Linked DNA regions of Lytechinus pictus. The protein of the gene in region 1 purifies or fractionates together with the protein of each later gene. This does not show direct contact. Links are inferred from orthologs where the notes say so. Each region holds a gene or a part of one and is shown in the gene's direction. Other genes may lie near its edges. The genes, in order: deubiquitinase OTUD6B-like and ubiquitin thioesterase OTUB1-like.

Region 1 (7,126 bases):
GAAACCATCCATAGTCAGGAATATGTATTGGGATAATGGGTTTGGGGGACATTTTTATAGTACCCGGGTGGATTATATCCGTCGTCACATCGGTGGGTGGTGGTATCATGAATTTCCGCCCAGATTACAATAAAGGGCACATTGTAAGGCAAATACTCATGAAAGAACCATGGAGATTGGTTAATAAGGAAATAGGGCACTTTTATCATCAAATCAGAGGAGATTTTCTTTGTGATAGTGATGTCCGAAGAGCAAACCTAGACTCGTGACGGGTCCATTATGCATACGAGGGGTGCATCCTAGCTTACCACTGCATAGCTAAGTCTGAAAATTAAGTTTTGCTTATTTCTTTCATTTTATAATTATGTTTAAATGTTCAAACAACGATAATTCATGGAAATTGACTCAAAATATTGCGAATCAACGCTGAAACATTATCTGTGTATACATTTTATCCCTCTGTAATGCTATTTACCCCCATAAAGCCGCAATGGAACATTCCGCACCACTAGTCATACGATGATCGCGAGGTCTGCAAACGTCGTCTGCTATGTTTTTACATGTCCGGTACACTGCATACAAGTTTTCGATATGGTAAACCAAATGAGCGATAATGACCGAAACTAACCATTATGGCTGCAAATGATATATTCACAACATAAAACGGACATTTTACGGGGCACTTAAACAAATCAATTTGTAAATCAAACAAAATAATGAAAGCTCGATGTTCGAGCTGAAATATGCTTTGAATATTGACTTCAAAACTTGATACATATCAGCCTATTGAGCAAGATGTGTATCTCATCGAACATGCAATGTGAGAGCGAAAATTTAATATAGTGACATTAAATATTAAAAAAAATCATTTTCCAAGACTTCCCTGACCTTATTTCATTTACTCGTCTCCCTCCTCTTATTTTGTCCTCTTATTTTTCCTTCTTTCTTTCCCCTTCTTTTTCTTTTTGTCTTTCTTTCCCTTTTATTTCTTCATTTTTTGCTCCGCCAATAGGGCCCCTGGATCCGCCTATGCGTATAGCCGTATGTTTCTATATGCGAGAGGGCTTAGCGACCGAGCAAAATAAATTACAAATGCTTGAGAATGATTTCATAACCATTTCAGCACCCATCAGGCCCAGATTGGTGTATAATGTAAATGAGGGCACAGCATGTGTTTTCACTTCATTTAAGAGGGATAATTCTAGAAGGGGGCTTGCAATGATGTTACCCTTTCCAGTTGGCTTTTCATTTATTCATACGGAAGAGAGCCAAATGAAAGAGAAAAAATTCTTACTTTCAAAAGCGATATTTTTAATTTACAGAGATAAGAACTATAACGTAATAGGTATAATATAGAATATAGCAGGGGTGGGGTTTTTAATGTCATATCGGGAACAACCCCCTTTCAGAGGCTTCAATGTGTTAAGGGATGTGGTGACCGGGGAGAAGTGAGCCTAGCATTTTGGAGCATTTTATTATGAACTTCCAAATAAATGTAAATCTGCAACATCTTTAAATTCCTGAATTACTCAACATGCATGCAGATAGGCTGCAAAAGTATACCCAGGATCTCTTCCCATTTATTACATATATTTAGTATACACATTGACTACATGCAGTATTAGAGTCAAATCACTTGAACCTGCATATGAGGCCTCGATCTGGGGAGGGGGCAGGGGCGAACATATCGATTTGTTCCCCAAATAGTTTTGACAATGACATCGGAAAGCACTATAAAACCATTATACTTGACACAAAAATACTATTATACATAGAAAAATTGTCACGGTCAAGATTTCGGGGAACTACTAATTCTCAGTGTTAAAATTTGGCTCTTGGATTAAGCGTGCCGGAAATTTTGGATATTTTTTTTCACCCCACCCAATCCGAAATGATAGGGATCGACAACCCTAAATCCTACCCAGGAGCGGGAATCCTGGGGGGGGGGGGGGGTGCACAGTGCCCCCTCACTTTGAAGCACTGAAAAGTACCCAGTTTTAAGCAAGAAAAAATTAATGTTTTATGTATCTAGATGTTATTTTGAGAGGGAGCGTGTAAAGTTTTGATTTTAGAGGACCAGAAGACAAAAAATGGAATACTGGATTATTCAATACATATACGCAAATATATATATATTTTTTCTTTGTGGTTGAAATTCTTATTTTTTTAGGGATGCACGGGGGTGCATGGGCTTCAGTCCCCAAACCTCCCCTAGAACCGCGCCTGTATGGCGATAAGCCTATTACTGGTCTCATGAGACCAATCAAGAAAAAGCCCAGAAGGATCATTTACCTGCCTGAATCTCAAAATTTTTGTCAAAGATTATTGAACTCATATCGAATATGAAAATAACAACCCATAACATAGGGTAAATGTTTCAAAGTAAAAACTATAGGGGCCTATTTTTTTCGTTTTATTCGTGTTTTTTTTTAGTGTCTGCCGAAAATCAGGCGCAGGCAGTGGCGTACCTAGGATTTTTCACAGGGGGGGGGGCAAAACCGTCCGCCAAAAAAATTGACAAGCAAAAAAAAAAAAAAAGGTCTTCAATCACAAATGAAGGATTTCGTACCTGAAAAAAATTTGACAAGCAAAAAAAAAAAAAAAGGTCTTCAAGCTCGTCAGGGGGGGGGGGGGGCAGACTGCCCTCTCTGCCCCCCCCCGTAGGTACGCTAGTGGGCGCAGGCCTCTACTTATTAGCGTAGTTTTCACTATTAATATTATTTCTACAATTATGGCATTATTTTCAGTTCGATTCCGAACCACATAATGCAATTTTTAGACTGTCTTGTACACCGATTTGTAATTCATTTATTTCAACTTCGTATTATATTTTGTCAATTTACAACAGGTTTTACTGAGAGAATAAAACAATTTGATTATGAATTAGATAATTTTGTTTCGTTTGTGTGTGCTAAAACCATCATGCAAGAAGTATGATAACTCGGACGGTAAGAGAGACCAACGTCTACTTCTAGAAACATAAAATTCCCCTTTTACCAGAAAATATTTCTTTGATCAAGACTTTTCTCCCAGGGACTTAAAAGTGCCCTTAAAATGAGGAAAACAAAATTGACCCTCACTTTGCTGCAATTATGCTGCGCCTCTCTTGCCCATTTCATGCATCCCACTTTCCAGAGAACCGCACACCTGTTGATTTCTTCAGTGTTTCGATCTGGGTTCCAGCACAAATGCATCAATTAATATGAGGCAAATTAAGTTTGCCCCAGTTTGTACTATCATCACTGTCATTTCTTTTACAGAGGTCATGTACAGTACTACCTGAAAATAATTATATCTGTATAAATAAAGTAAAATTCACCGTGAGCAAAATCCTGAAATTTTCATCGAAAAAGTTACGCAGTTTTTAAAGAAAACATTTATATGAACATCGTCATGAATATTCATTAGGTGGGGGTGATGGTGCCTCACAGAAAGTTTATAGTGAAATAGGAAAAAAATAATAACAAATATTGGTGAAGGTTTTAAAAATATTTTATTAGTTTATTTTTTGATTTGTGACGCCTGACGTCATATGCTAGCAGCTTTCCATGTATTTTGAATTTAAAAATCAATGAAATGTCAATTGAAAATTAATTTTATACCTTCAGTAATTCAGCTTCCCCTTTAAGTGGTATAACCGTTGGCTAGCCATGGAATAGACTCTGTTTCATCAAAATAATGTTAATCTTTAAAGTTTAAAATGTCATAACTTCGATCGTTATTAGTTGTCCGATTTTGATCGAATTCCCAGTGTTTTGATTGTCTGATTTTTCTATATCTGTTCAAATCATAGTTCTCTCTCAGCCTGGAGTGCTCCTTCAGAACTTTTCATGCAGTGAAGGTGTCAATAAATTTCCTTACATTTCAGCCGGCGGGAGGAAGGATTTTGAAAGTGGGGAGAAGGGGCCGCAGCATAACATTATTATAATTATTCGATGGTAATCAATTTTCAGAGAAGATTGTAGCCACCCCCATGCAGTTCCACACCCCCTGATTTGCATTTAATTTACATTACACATTTTCACTTAAAAAAAATATCCCAGTGCAGTCTGCGCGCGAGCTCGTTTCAACTCCGATCCACTGCGTACTGTCGTTGTACGTCGGAGTCTCGGAGATGTACTTGTGATCGTGAGCAATCTTCGCAATCAATACTCTCTGAAAGTAATCTCGGAACCATGGATCAAGATGAATTGGAGCAAAAACATCGAAAGGAACGGAAGGATTTGCAAGGTAATTTTGGCACATTTTAATTGTTATCCCGGCAAGGAACAACAACTGTAACTTGATACAGCCGCCAATACATATCATGATTTAAAATGGCTTTATGTTTTTAAATAACAGCCCTAGCCTAGCCAAGTAACAACTGAAGTAGTGACAGTACTAGTAGATCTGTCTTTGGTCCCACAGCACTCTTTTCTTGTCAGCTATCTAGGCTGCTAACTTATCATGGTAATTTTCATCATTTCAATGAACAAGGTTGTTCTCTGTTACTACTCCATGTGGTACAAAAAATGGAAATGATTGGTTTATTTTCTCTTTTTCTTTGAAACAAATGCTTGGTTTTTTGACAATCAGTTTCAAATTCAACACTTGGCTTGTATTTGTTGCAAGTAAATTTGATTCTTTGTTTGATTTTTTATAAATATAAATTAAAAACAGAGATTGAAAAATGACAGTTTTCTGGCCATATTACTTTCCACCAATAGAGGCAATACACAAAAATATGCCAAAAATTCAAGTTCTTGAGTGCTCTGCCTCTGGTGAATACAAAAATTATTTTAAAAAAAAAGGCAAAATACCAATGAAAAATAAATTGCAACTGTATGGAATTGGAAATTAGTATTTTTGCCTTTTGGTCACATAAGTGATATTTCAAATTCAATGATTTTTTTTTAAAGTGTGTGCTGTGTACTGCATTGGCATACCATATAGTCCTACCTGTAGATTCTCCACAGGTAGGATCACTAGGATGGTTGCAGTGAGCAAGTGTTGATTTTGTTATGACTAACAAAATATTTAGTAATACTGTACGTAATCGTACAATGCAGTGACTCTGTCTGATTCAGACAGAGAGAGCAAGGAGAAGAGAAATATGGAGGAGTGAGAGGGAGAGGAAAGGAGGAGGAGAAAGAAAAGAAAAGAGTCAAGAAGCAGAAGGATGGGGCTCAAACTAGTAAACTAAAAAAAAAGACATATGTCAAAGTCCTGAGAGAGAAGGAGAATGAAAAGGATAAGGCTGAGGAAGGTGAATGAAGTATTAAGGAGAGGAATAAAAAAAGAGGAGAGAGAAGGATGGAGGAGAAGGAGGGAGGAGAGAAGAAGATGAATGGAGAAGGAGAGAAGGAGAATTAGGAGGTGGGGAGGGGAGAAGGAGAGAAGGAGAATTAGGAGGTGGGGAGGAGAAAAGGAGGTAGAGGAGAATATTGAAGGCAATATCTTACAAGAAATATGAAGAAAGGAGGAGGAAAACTTGGACATATTAACAATTAAAGGGATGATTTTCAATGTATCACAGCAAAGATTCAAGGAATAAAGAAGGCTGTGCCCAAAGGAGATAAGAAGAGGAAGAAAGAAGCAGCCGAGGAAATTGCTCAATTAGAAGCAGATCTTGACCAGAGGCATCAGGCAGAGCTTGAGGCAAACAAAAACAAGGCAGCTGTTCCCCATGATGTATGTCAGAATGTAAGAAAATAATCTTTTTCTTACCATGTTGGATGGGGGCAGTTTCATAAAGCAGTTCGTAAGTTACGCACGACTGAATAAACAACTAGTGACCCTTTTCATTGGTGTTGATTTTAGCTCTCGTTTGTGAAGATAACTTGAGAAGAACTTTATGAAACACCCACTTGTGTTGTCTAGGTTTTATATACATATAAGGTAATACTAGTATAAGATATATATTTCCTGCTTCTGATGTTATTTAGTGACATGATGAAGAGATCATTGCAGGATCTGTCTGTCAAAGCATTTTAATTGATCCAATCAATCTTACTCCAAAAAGAAAAGAAATTGAGCAGCTATCTCATATTTCTTTTTTTTTTTGTGTGATTGGTGCCCCTTTGTTAAATGAGTCCTAACAATAAAGTATACATGCATTGTGTCTATCACAGCGAGGTCTTGTAATTATTTGCAAACATTGCAGTCATGTACAAAGTATATTGTAACCAAATTGTTGCATTGATTGCACAATCAATTGTGAGCATTCCCTTTACAGGGAAACATTGAGTGGGCATATGCATCCTAGATGGTGCTGTTACTGGTACTAGCTTTTGTTTGACTGTCTTTATGAATTAATCTCATTTTGAGATTGGGTTCAGATGTTATGCTGAAAATGTGACAGCAAGTCTGAGAAGCAAGAGAAGCACACATAGCAATGGAAGAGTAGGGGGGGGGGGGGGTTAAGTCAAAGTGATTAATGAATCTGTAATTTTGTTTTTATTCAATATTAAATTTCTTGTGTATTTTCCAATTTCTTCACTTTTAAAGGAAGCATCAGCAGAAGAAATGCTTGAAAAATTAGACATCGCTGAAGAACCTGAGGATAAATCACAGAAGCTCTCAAAAGCACAGAAAAGAAGAGTGAGTCTGGTGTTTTTCATGACTTTTATTGAAAAGATTATGTTCATGGTTGCCGGGTAGGTAAAATTGTCTACCTGTTAGAGTTATGATTCTGTTGATGACCCTTACCATATCATCCAAAGCAAAAGAATCACTTATGATTTTTTTGTTGTCACGTGATTACCCATAGCAAAATAATCTCATTTGTTTGAAAGAAGATTAAGATCAATTTATTGCCAAGTTATATGAAGAGCTAGTTAAACTAAAACAAGAAAATCAACACAGGCATGATGAAAGGACTTGATAGTGCATCTTTAGAGCAACTCCATCAGTTATTACATTAAACTACTTTCGTGCCAATGGGCAGGTCAAAAGCATTGTTTATGTTGGAATTATTGAGTTTGTATTCATACACTTATCCATTTCTATCAAGGAAATGTGAAATATAATTGTGGCAGAGTCATTATTTTGTTAATGTCATTTCTAAAATTATATTACGTTTTATGGTCTATTTTAGTTCACAGTGAGTGAATTCATTCTATAAATTTTTCTTCCTAAAAACTAAGCC
Region 2 (7,465 bases), on another chromosome or scaffold:
TTATAAATGACTCTTCATGTACCAGAGTGACAGATTTGTCTTCTACGCTTGTTGACCACATGTTAACTAATAACATGGATAAAGTGAAAGCTCACGGTGTGTTATGTAATGGGATGAGTGATCATTACATTAGTTATTTTATATGGAAATCCCAACAAAAATTCTCATCTGGTGAAACTTATATAAGGTATAGAAAATCCAGAAATGTTGATTTGGAGTCTTTCAGAAATGACCTTCGTAATCAAAACTGGAGGATAATAGAAGATTTTGATGATATTAATGACGCTGTCAATAAGTGGGAAATAATGCTATTAGAAGTTGTTAATAAACATATGCCCTATTACTTTCTTGATAAATAAATCTTTATGTGATGGTGTTGTACCTGAGAAATGGAAAGTAGCCAAAATTGTTCCTATTCACAAGAAAGGTGATAAGTTTGAATTTAACAACTATAGACCGATATCGATTCTACCCTGTGTGTCTAAATTAATGGAAAAAATTGTGCAAAAGCAATTGCTTCGTTATATTCAAACTCATTCTTTACTTTCTGCTTTTCAATCTGGATTCCGTCCGAAACACTCTACCATTACTGCTCTTGCTAAGGTAACGGATGACTGGTTTCATTCTATGGACAATGGGCAGTATACAGGGGCTATTTTTATTGACCTTCAAAAGGCTTTCGACCTGGTCGATCATGCAATTCTCCTATCCAAACTTAAAGGAAACCAAAACCCAAGAAGAGAAGCAATCTTATTGGAAAGAGTAAAATGAGAGGAACAATTTAAAAAAAATTTGAGAATGCCCATAGAAAGTACAACAAGAGTTTTCAAACTCCCATAACTTGCTTATTTCATAACCGATTTTGATGAAACTTTTTTTAAATTGTTCCTCTCATTTTACTTTTTCCAATAAGATTTCTTCTCTTCTTGGGTTTTGGTTTCCTTTAAACATATTGGTATATCTGGTGATGAATTGCATTGGTTCAAAAGTTATTTGACTAATAGAAGAATACGTACATCCATTAATGGAATTTTATCTGAAGAAAGGGTCATTTTTAAGGGAGTACCCCAGGGATCTCTCCTTGGACCCTTACTGTTCATTTTATTTATTGATGATATAATTTCTGTATTTAAAGAGTGCACCGTACACCTTTATGCTGACGACACAGTAATATATTTCTCACACAAAGATATTAGAGTTATCGAACTCGTCCTTAATAAGGAGCTGGAAAGTCTATCTGTCTGAATAAACAGGAATAATTTGAAAATAAACTATGATAAAACTGTAAGCATGTTGATTGGAACACCAAAAATGCTTAAAACGTCAAAACATTTACAACTAAAATTGACTGTCATTTACTGACTCAAGTGAATAGCTTTAAGTATCTAGGTGTCTTTGTGGATGAAAACATGAAGTGGGACTATCACGTAAATTATTTATGTAAAAAACTGGGGAGAATGATTGGTTATATTGCACGGCTAAAGCATTTTGTAAATTTGTCAGAATTAAAGTTAATATATAACTCAATAATTTTACCTCATTTTGATTATGGTGACATTATCTATCAATCTGCAAACAAATCTCTACTTGACCAACTTCAAAAAATTCAAAATAGAGCTGGAAGAATAATCTTGAAAATTGACCCCGTACCGCGGTTATATTCACACACTTCAACCTCTCAAATTCATTCTATTCTTGGTTGGGACACTTTTCAAAAGAGACAGTATACTCACTTGATATTATTCATGTATAAGATTTGTAACAACATGTCCACTGAATATATGAAAAATTTGTTTCATACAAAAGTTACTCCTTACCCTCTTAGAAATGAAAATAATATATGTTTACCCAGACCTAGAACCAATAGTTGTTAAAGATATTTCTCTTACCGAGCTGCATAAATTCAACAGAATCCCTTTGTGCGTGCGTAATGTCACCAGCACTTTCAATTCTTTTAAAAATACATTTTTGAAATATATCTGTGCTAAATGAAATTAAACCACTGATTTGTACCGGGGGGAGGGGGGGTAGGTGTAGTTTATATGATTTTTCTTTGTTTTTAATGATTTCACTTATATGTCTGATGGTCAACTTTCTTTATTTTATGGTAATCATAGCATTTTTGTATGTAAACTGGCTCCATGGAAGACCAGCAGCAATGCATTATTGCAGCTGAATATGGACTACCAGTCGTATAATTTACTTTATTTTTTACCTTTTATTATTGTATCTTAATATTGACCTCATCATCTCATGTTATATGTATTTGTATGTACTTTGTATCTGTTATTTTATATACGGAAATAAAACAAACAAACAAACAAACAAACAAGGTAATTTGTCTATTGCATTTGTGATTAATGTGATTAAGTTATGATAAATCATCGCTTAATCTCGGTTTCGTTTTTTCTGGGACGCACTGTATATATATATATATATATATATATATATGAGTATGTTTGGGTGAGTGGGTGAGTTTGTTTGTTTTGTGTGGTCGAGCGCCTGTGGAACGTTGATTCATGATTTTGCCCCCCCCCCCCCCAATCTGAAAAATGGATCGACGCCCCTGCCCCACACACACACGCACCACCCTCCCCAGTCGCCCTCATGCATCCATACACGTTCCCTCGAACGAACACCCCCCCCCCCTCCTCATCACTCGTCCAGTGCGTCAACACCCACACATCAAGTCATGTAGGCCTATAATGAAGAGGGCGGATCCAGCACTTCCAATAGAGGGGAGGGGGGAATCCCCGGTGGGCTGCTAAAGGGGGTTAGAGGTGGTAAGTCCTACAACAAACTGAAGAGGAAAAAAATACTTTTATTTTCACAGACAAGATTATGTATCACATAAGACCAATAAAGATTATGTGAGTGAGAAGCGCGGGTTGAAAATCACAAAAAAAATTGGCTCGCATCAGTTATTGTTTAGTAAGATTCTCTTTCTGTTCTTGGTTACAAAAAGTGCTTAGAATGTCCAGTTTTTCAGGTTGGAATGTCACAATTTCTTGGCTCGCCTTTCGCATTCGCAACCCAGTCATTCTGTTCTTGATGGTTGCAGAAAGTACTTAGAATGTCCAGTTTACAGGTTGAAATATAACAAATTTTCAGCTCGCGCTCTTATAATATTTATCAGTCACTAAGTGCATTCCTTATCAGGTCAGTAAAATTTAAAATTTCAGCTTCTTCATGATAACAAAAACTTTTCGGAATGTTTAAGTTTCACGTCTTATTACATGTCAAAATGTTTGAGCTCACGATTCGCGCTCACAATGATGCCCCTTTATTTAACAGTAATTAGCGCCATAATTGACCAAACAGCGAATTTCAGAACTTTAGATTTTGAAAATATTCCAAACCGCTCTAAAGCCTAAATGTATATCTTATCATCAGAAATCACTTCAAAAAGGCTTTGCTCAACGTAATTACTACGTACAAAACACACAACACTTTACGCAGATATATGTTGAAAATATCCGATTGCTCCAAAATACCCCTTTTGCCATATAAGTGCCCTTTTTTGCTTTGACTCCCCCCCCCCCCCCCCACAACGAAAATACGTTCCGCTGCCCCTGCTCCGCAGCAGAATTTTGAGCAGTGCTGCAGATTGGTAAGTTAGCTAGTATCATTATTATTATTACTACTCTTCTTCTTTATTATTATTATTATTGTTATTATTATTATTATCATTATTATTATTAATATTGTTGTTGTTTTTATTATTATTATTATTGTTATTATTATTTAAATTATTATTATTATTATTATTATTATTATCATTATTATTATTATTATTGTTATTATTATTATCATTAAATCTATAGCTTGGTAATCCCAAGATATCTGAAAACATATATAGATATATAGAAGATCAATTATACTGCCGATCAGTGACAAAATGAAGCAACTCATGCAATGAGTTTCTTACTTATTCTTAGTAAATGAGAAATCTGTGTCATTGTTTTTTTTTATGGAAATGGATTTACCGGTACCGGTACTTGCTTTTTTAAACGTCTTTATATTTCTAAAATTGGGGGGGGGGGGGGGGCTATGTGACTCCAATTCCTTTAGTATCACGTTGAGTATACAGAAAATATACCAAATCAAGATGAAAAAAATAAGTTTTGAGAAAAAAAAACGGCTGAATATTTCTGCCGGCTAACATGCCCCCCACCCCCCCCCCCCCCCTTGAAACTCATTAAAAAATGTCTTTGTTGCTTTGCTTTGATCTGATTTTTCTTATCGATTTGTTATCTACACGCCACCCTCCGTCATAATCATTTTGTTTCTTCACGTAATACAGAAACACTTCGATTTTCTGCCAAAAGAATGGCGAATAAAGAAGGAAATCCTTCATCTTTGCCTGTAGATCAAGAAATTGAACAACTCACAGGTACGTCTTCTGTCGATTGAATTGTTTTGTCAAAACTTAGGAGATAAAATGTGATGTATAGGATAAGGTGAAATTTTCTCATTTGACTGACTCACTGAGTTGATTGGACTGGACTCTCTGGACTGGAGTTCCGACCGTCCACTCAGGCCCGTGTGATTTCTTATACACGCAGTCGACATAGTAGACTCCGAGTAGACTAGATCTAAGCTACTCCCACTCACACTAGTAGTAGTATGAGGTCATGGAGGTTAGTATAGTATGCTACATGTTACCTCAAGTGATGTTCATGCAGGCTTCACTACACAACGCTACACCAGTTCGGTGTAAAAATGGCAAAGGCAAAAATGGCAGAGGTAAAAATGGCAGAAGTAAAAATGGCAAAGGTAAAAATGACAAAGGTAAAAATGGCAAAGGTAAAAATGGCAGAGGTAAAAATGGTAAAAGTAAAATGGCAGAGGTAAAAATGACGGAGGTATAAATGGCCAGTCTCAAACCCCCATCCCATGCCAAAAAAATCCCAAAGTCCCTCCATGTAGTAGATTAAATAAGAAAGGTTCTGAGAAGAAAATAAGAATTATAATGTCGGACTATAAATGGAAAGGGTGACATTTTTAAATCATACTTTAGATCTTCTGCATCAAATTGATAACACTTGAATTAGTATTTCTTTTTTTTTCCTGAATTACATGCACGGCCTTCTCATGTCAAATCGCTCTTCTAATTTTCAGCACACTTTGGATCCCAAATATTGTACTTATATTGTTATAATACATTAAAGAGGAAATTTACCCTGACATTAAGTTTATTGTATAAATAGAAAATTATTGAAATGATATTGGTGAGGGTTTTAGGGAATCCAAAGATTAAAAAAAGCTATTAGAATTTTATATTTTAATGTAGACAGCTGGCAGCCGTCTGTTTCGAGGAGTTTTTTAACATTTTTTTTATTTTTATTCTCCTCGTACACAGACGGCTCGCTAGCGTGCAGCCACCATTAGGGGACTTGCAATGCGAAATCCCCCCGTCGGGGCTCTTCAATTTTTGTCTTTAATGAATAAAAATTTTGAAAATTAACGCGACCAAAATGCAAATCAATATTCCCTCTTGGCATTAATTGCCCAAAAACGGAGAAAATCAAGTTAAAAGGAACAAAAACAGTGACTTACCTCGGCTGTCGCGCAAATTCACTTCCCCGTTTTATCCGATCTTAAGTACCTAAACATATGGCCATTGAGTCCCCTGTACAGATCGCGCTAGAACTTCGGTCTCTGTATTTGGTGAGTGAAGCCAACGGAGTTCAGCTGAACAACCAACATAACAGAGACCGAAGCTTTTGGTCTAATTTTAATGGTGACGTCATTTGCGAGCAGTTTTTCCATATGTGGTGTAATAAAAGATATCACTGAAATGTCATTTTCTTAAGAAAAAAATTAAAATGGTTTTTATTGTACCTTCAGTATATCAACATACAAATCCCTTCACATCCGCTCCTGAAAGATTTTTTTAGCAATCATGAACTGATTACAAAAGTATACATTTTGGTGCATAAAATACGGGGCAGCTGCTCGTATGATGATGTCACATATCAAAAACTCAAACTTCCAATAACTTTCTTAATCTTTGATCTGGTTTCTGTAAACTTTCACTTCATTTTTCTGCTATTTTTACCATATTCCATTTGTCAGGATGAACTTCCCCTTCAAAACACGTCGATAGAATGGTACCTACATGTAAGAAACGCCTATAAATTTAAATCCCTGATTTGCTGCACATTTCCAAATTCTTGCGGTAACCGTTACCATAAAAACTAGTTTAGGAACCTGACATCCACTTGGATTAGCTGCAATGAGGTATATCGCTCTGAAAACTTAACACTATTGCTATTATATCATTTACATTAAACTATGTACGTATCATATCTATCTATTCGGATCCATTATGATGTTGAAATATGAAAAAATTACTTTTATTACAGAACTTTTTGTTATTTTCCGTTATCCAAGTTATGCAGGGGGTTCGAAGAAATCCCGAACTTGTCTCTTTCAGTGTGTTTATGGTAGCGCACATTGGTGTTTACATTAAAATTTGTTTGGTATGTATGTGATGAAGTGCTGTTCTACTATTTGAACTGGCCAAGATAAATCCTTTCATCACTCACTAATTTAAATCATTTTCGCATGAAAATGTTTTTGTTTCAATTCAATTCTCTTCAATTTATTTGGCAAAATAAAACAATCAAGAAGTTTAATCATATCAACGAGCTCAGACCCTCGCGCATGCAATGTTTTGAAATCGGCAGTGAATTATTTACACATGTGAGGAACTCGATGTTGGCTCTAAATCACCAATTTTTAGGCTAACCGTAGGATGGATGTAGAGTGAATTTTTTTTTTCAAATGTTTTTTTTTTTTAGATTATGATTATTATTCAAGGCAACTTCCTGTTGAATATGTCTAATCGGTAATCCATTTACGTGTGATTTATTTTCTGTAGGCATGGCAAGAGATGAGGCAATATTAGCACATCAGGATAAACTTGAGAAAGAGGTATTTATCAAATTGACATTTTTTTTTCTTACCATGAATCAAATAAATTGTATATCATTCATTCTCTCTGTTTATTTCTTTGTTTTATTTAGCTTTTTGATCTTTGATATAACATTGACATGGGCAATTAATTGCTATCAAAATTTGATGGCTTAGACTTTTACCACTTATATCAGATCTACTGAATTGTAGAAATTTCTATGGACTTTTTAATCATTTATTTTTAGTACAAACAGTCCACTATCGATCTAGTTTCTATTCATCACAGAAGTATGATATTAGGAATCAAACATTTATTGTGTGTATTTAATATGTGTTTGTATATATTTTCTCTTCCACTTAGATAAAAGAGTCCACCCAACTTATTAGTGAGAAGCTACCACTTTCTGTTCTCACAGATGAATTCAAAAGTGATCCTGTTTACTGTCAGAAAGTAGAAGTAAGTATTGTATGTAATAATTGTATGTATATGTAACCACTTTTATTACCCATGGTAATAAAAAAAGCATTCTCAAAGGAGCCAAGA

The links.
Region 2: the proteins of deubiquitinase OTUD6B-like (region 1) and ubiquitin thioesterase OTUB1-like fractionate together in Homo sapiens (co-fractionation; 4 studies listed by BioGRID and IntAct, with this or other methods). This does not show direct contact. The link is inferred for Lytechinus pictus from reciprocal best matches to the Homo sapiens genes OTUD6B and OTUB1.

The regions. Positions count from the first base shown.
Region 1 is NC_087246.1:61,250,344-61,257,469, reverse strand, and holds the start of deubiquitinase OTUD6B-like, read left to right. Parts: upstream 1-4,098; 5' UTR 4,099-4,175; coding exon 4,176-4,230; intron 4,231-5,515; coding exon 5,516-5,682; intron 5,683-6,486; coding exon 6,487-6,579; intron 6,580-7,126.
Region 2 is NC_087251.1:24,696,944-24,704,408, reverse strand, and holds the start of ubiquitin thioesterase OTUB1-like, read left to right. Parts: upstream 1-4,216; 5' UTR 4,217-4,329; coding exon 4,330-4,393; intron 4,394-6,886; coding exon 6,887-6,939; intron 6,940-7,282; coding exon 7,283-7,378; intron 7,379-7,465. UniProt on the Homo sapiens protein: Hydrolase that can specifically remove 'Lys-48'-linked conjugated ubiquitin from proteins and plays an important regulatory role at the level of protein turnover by preventing degradation.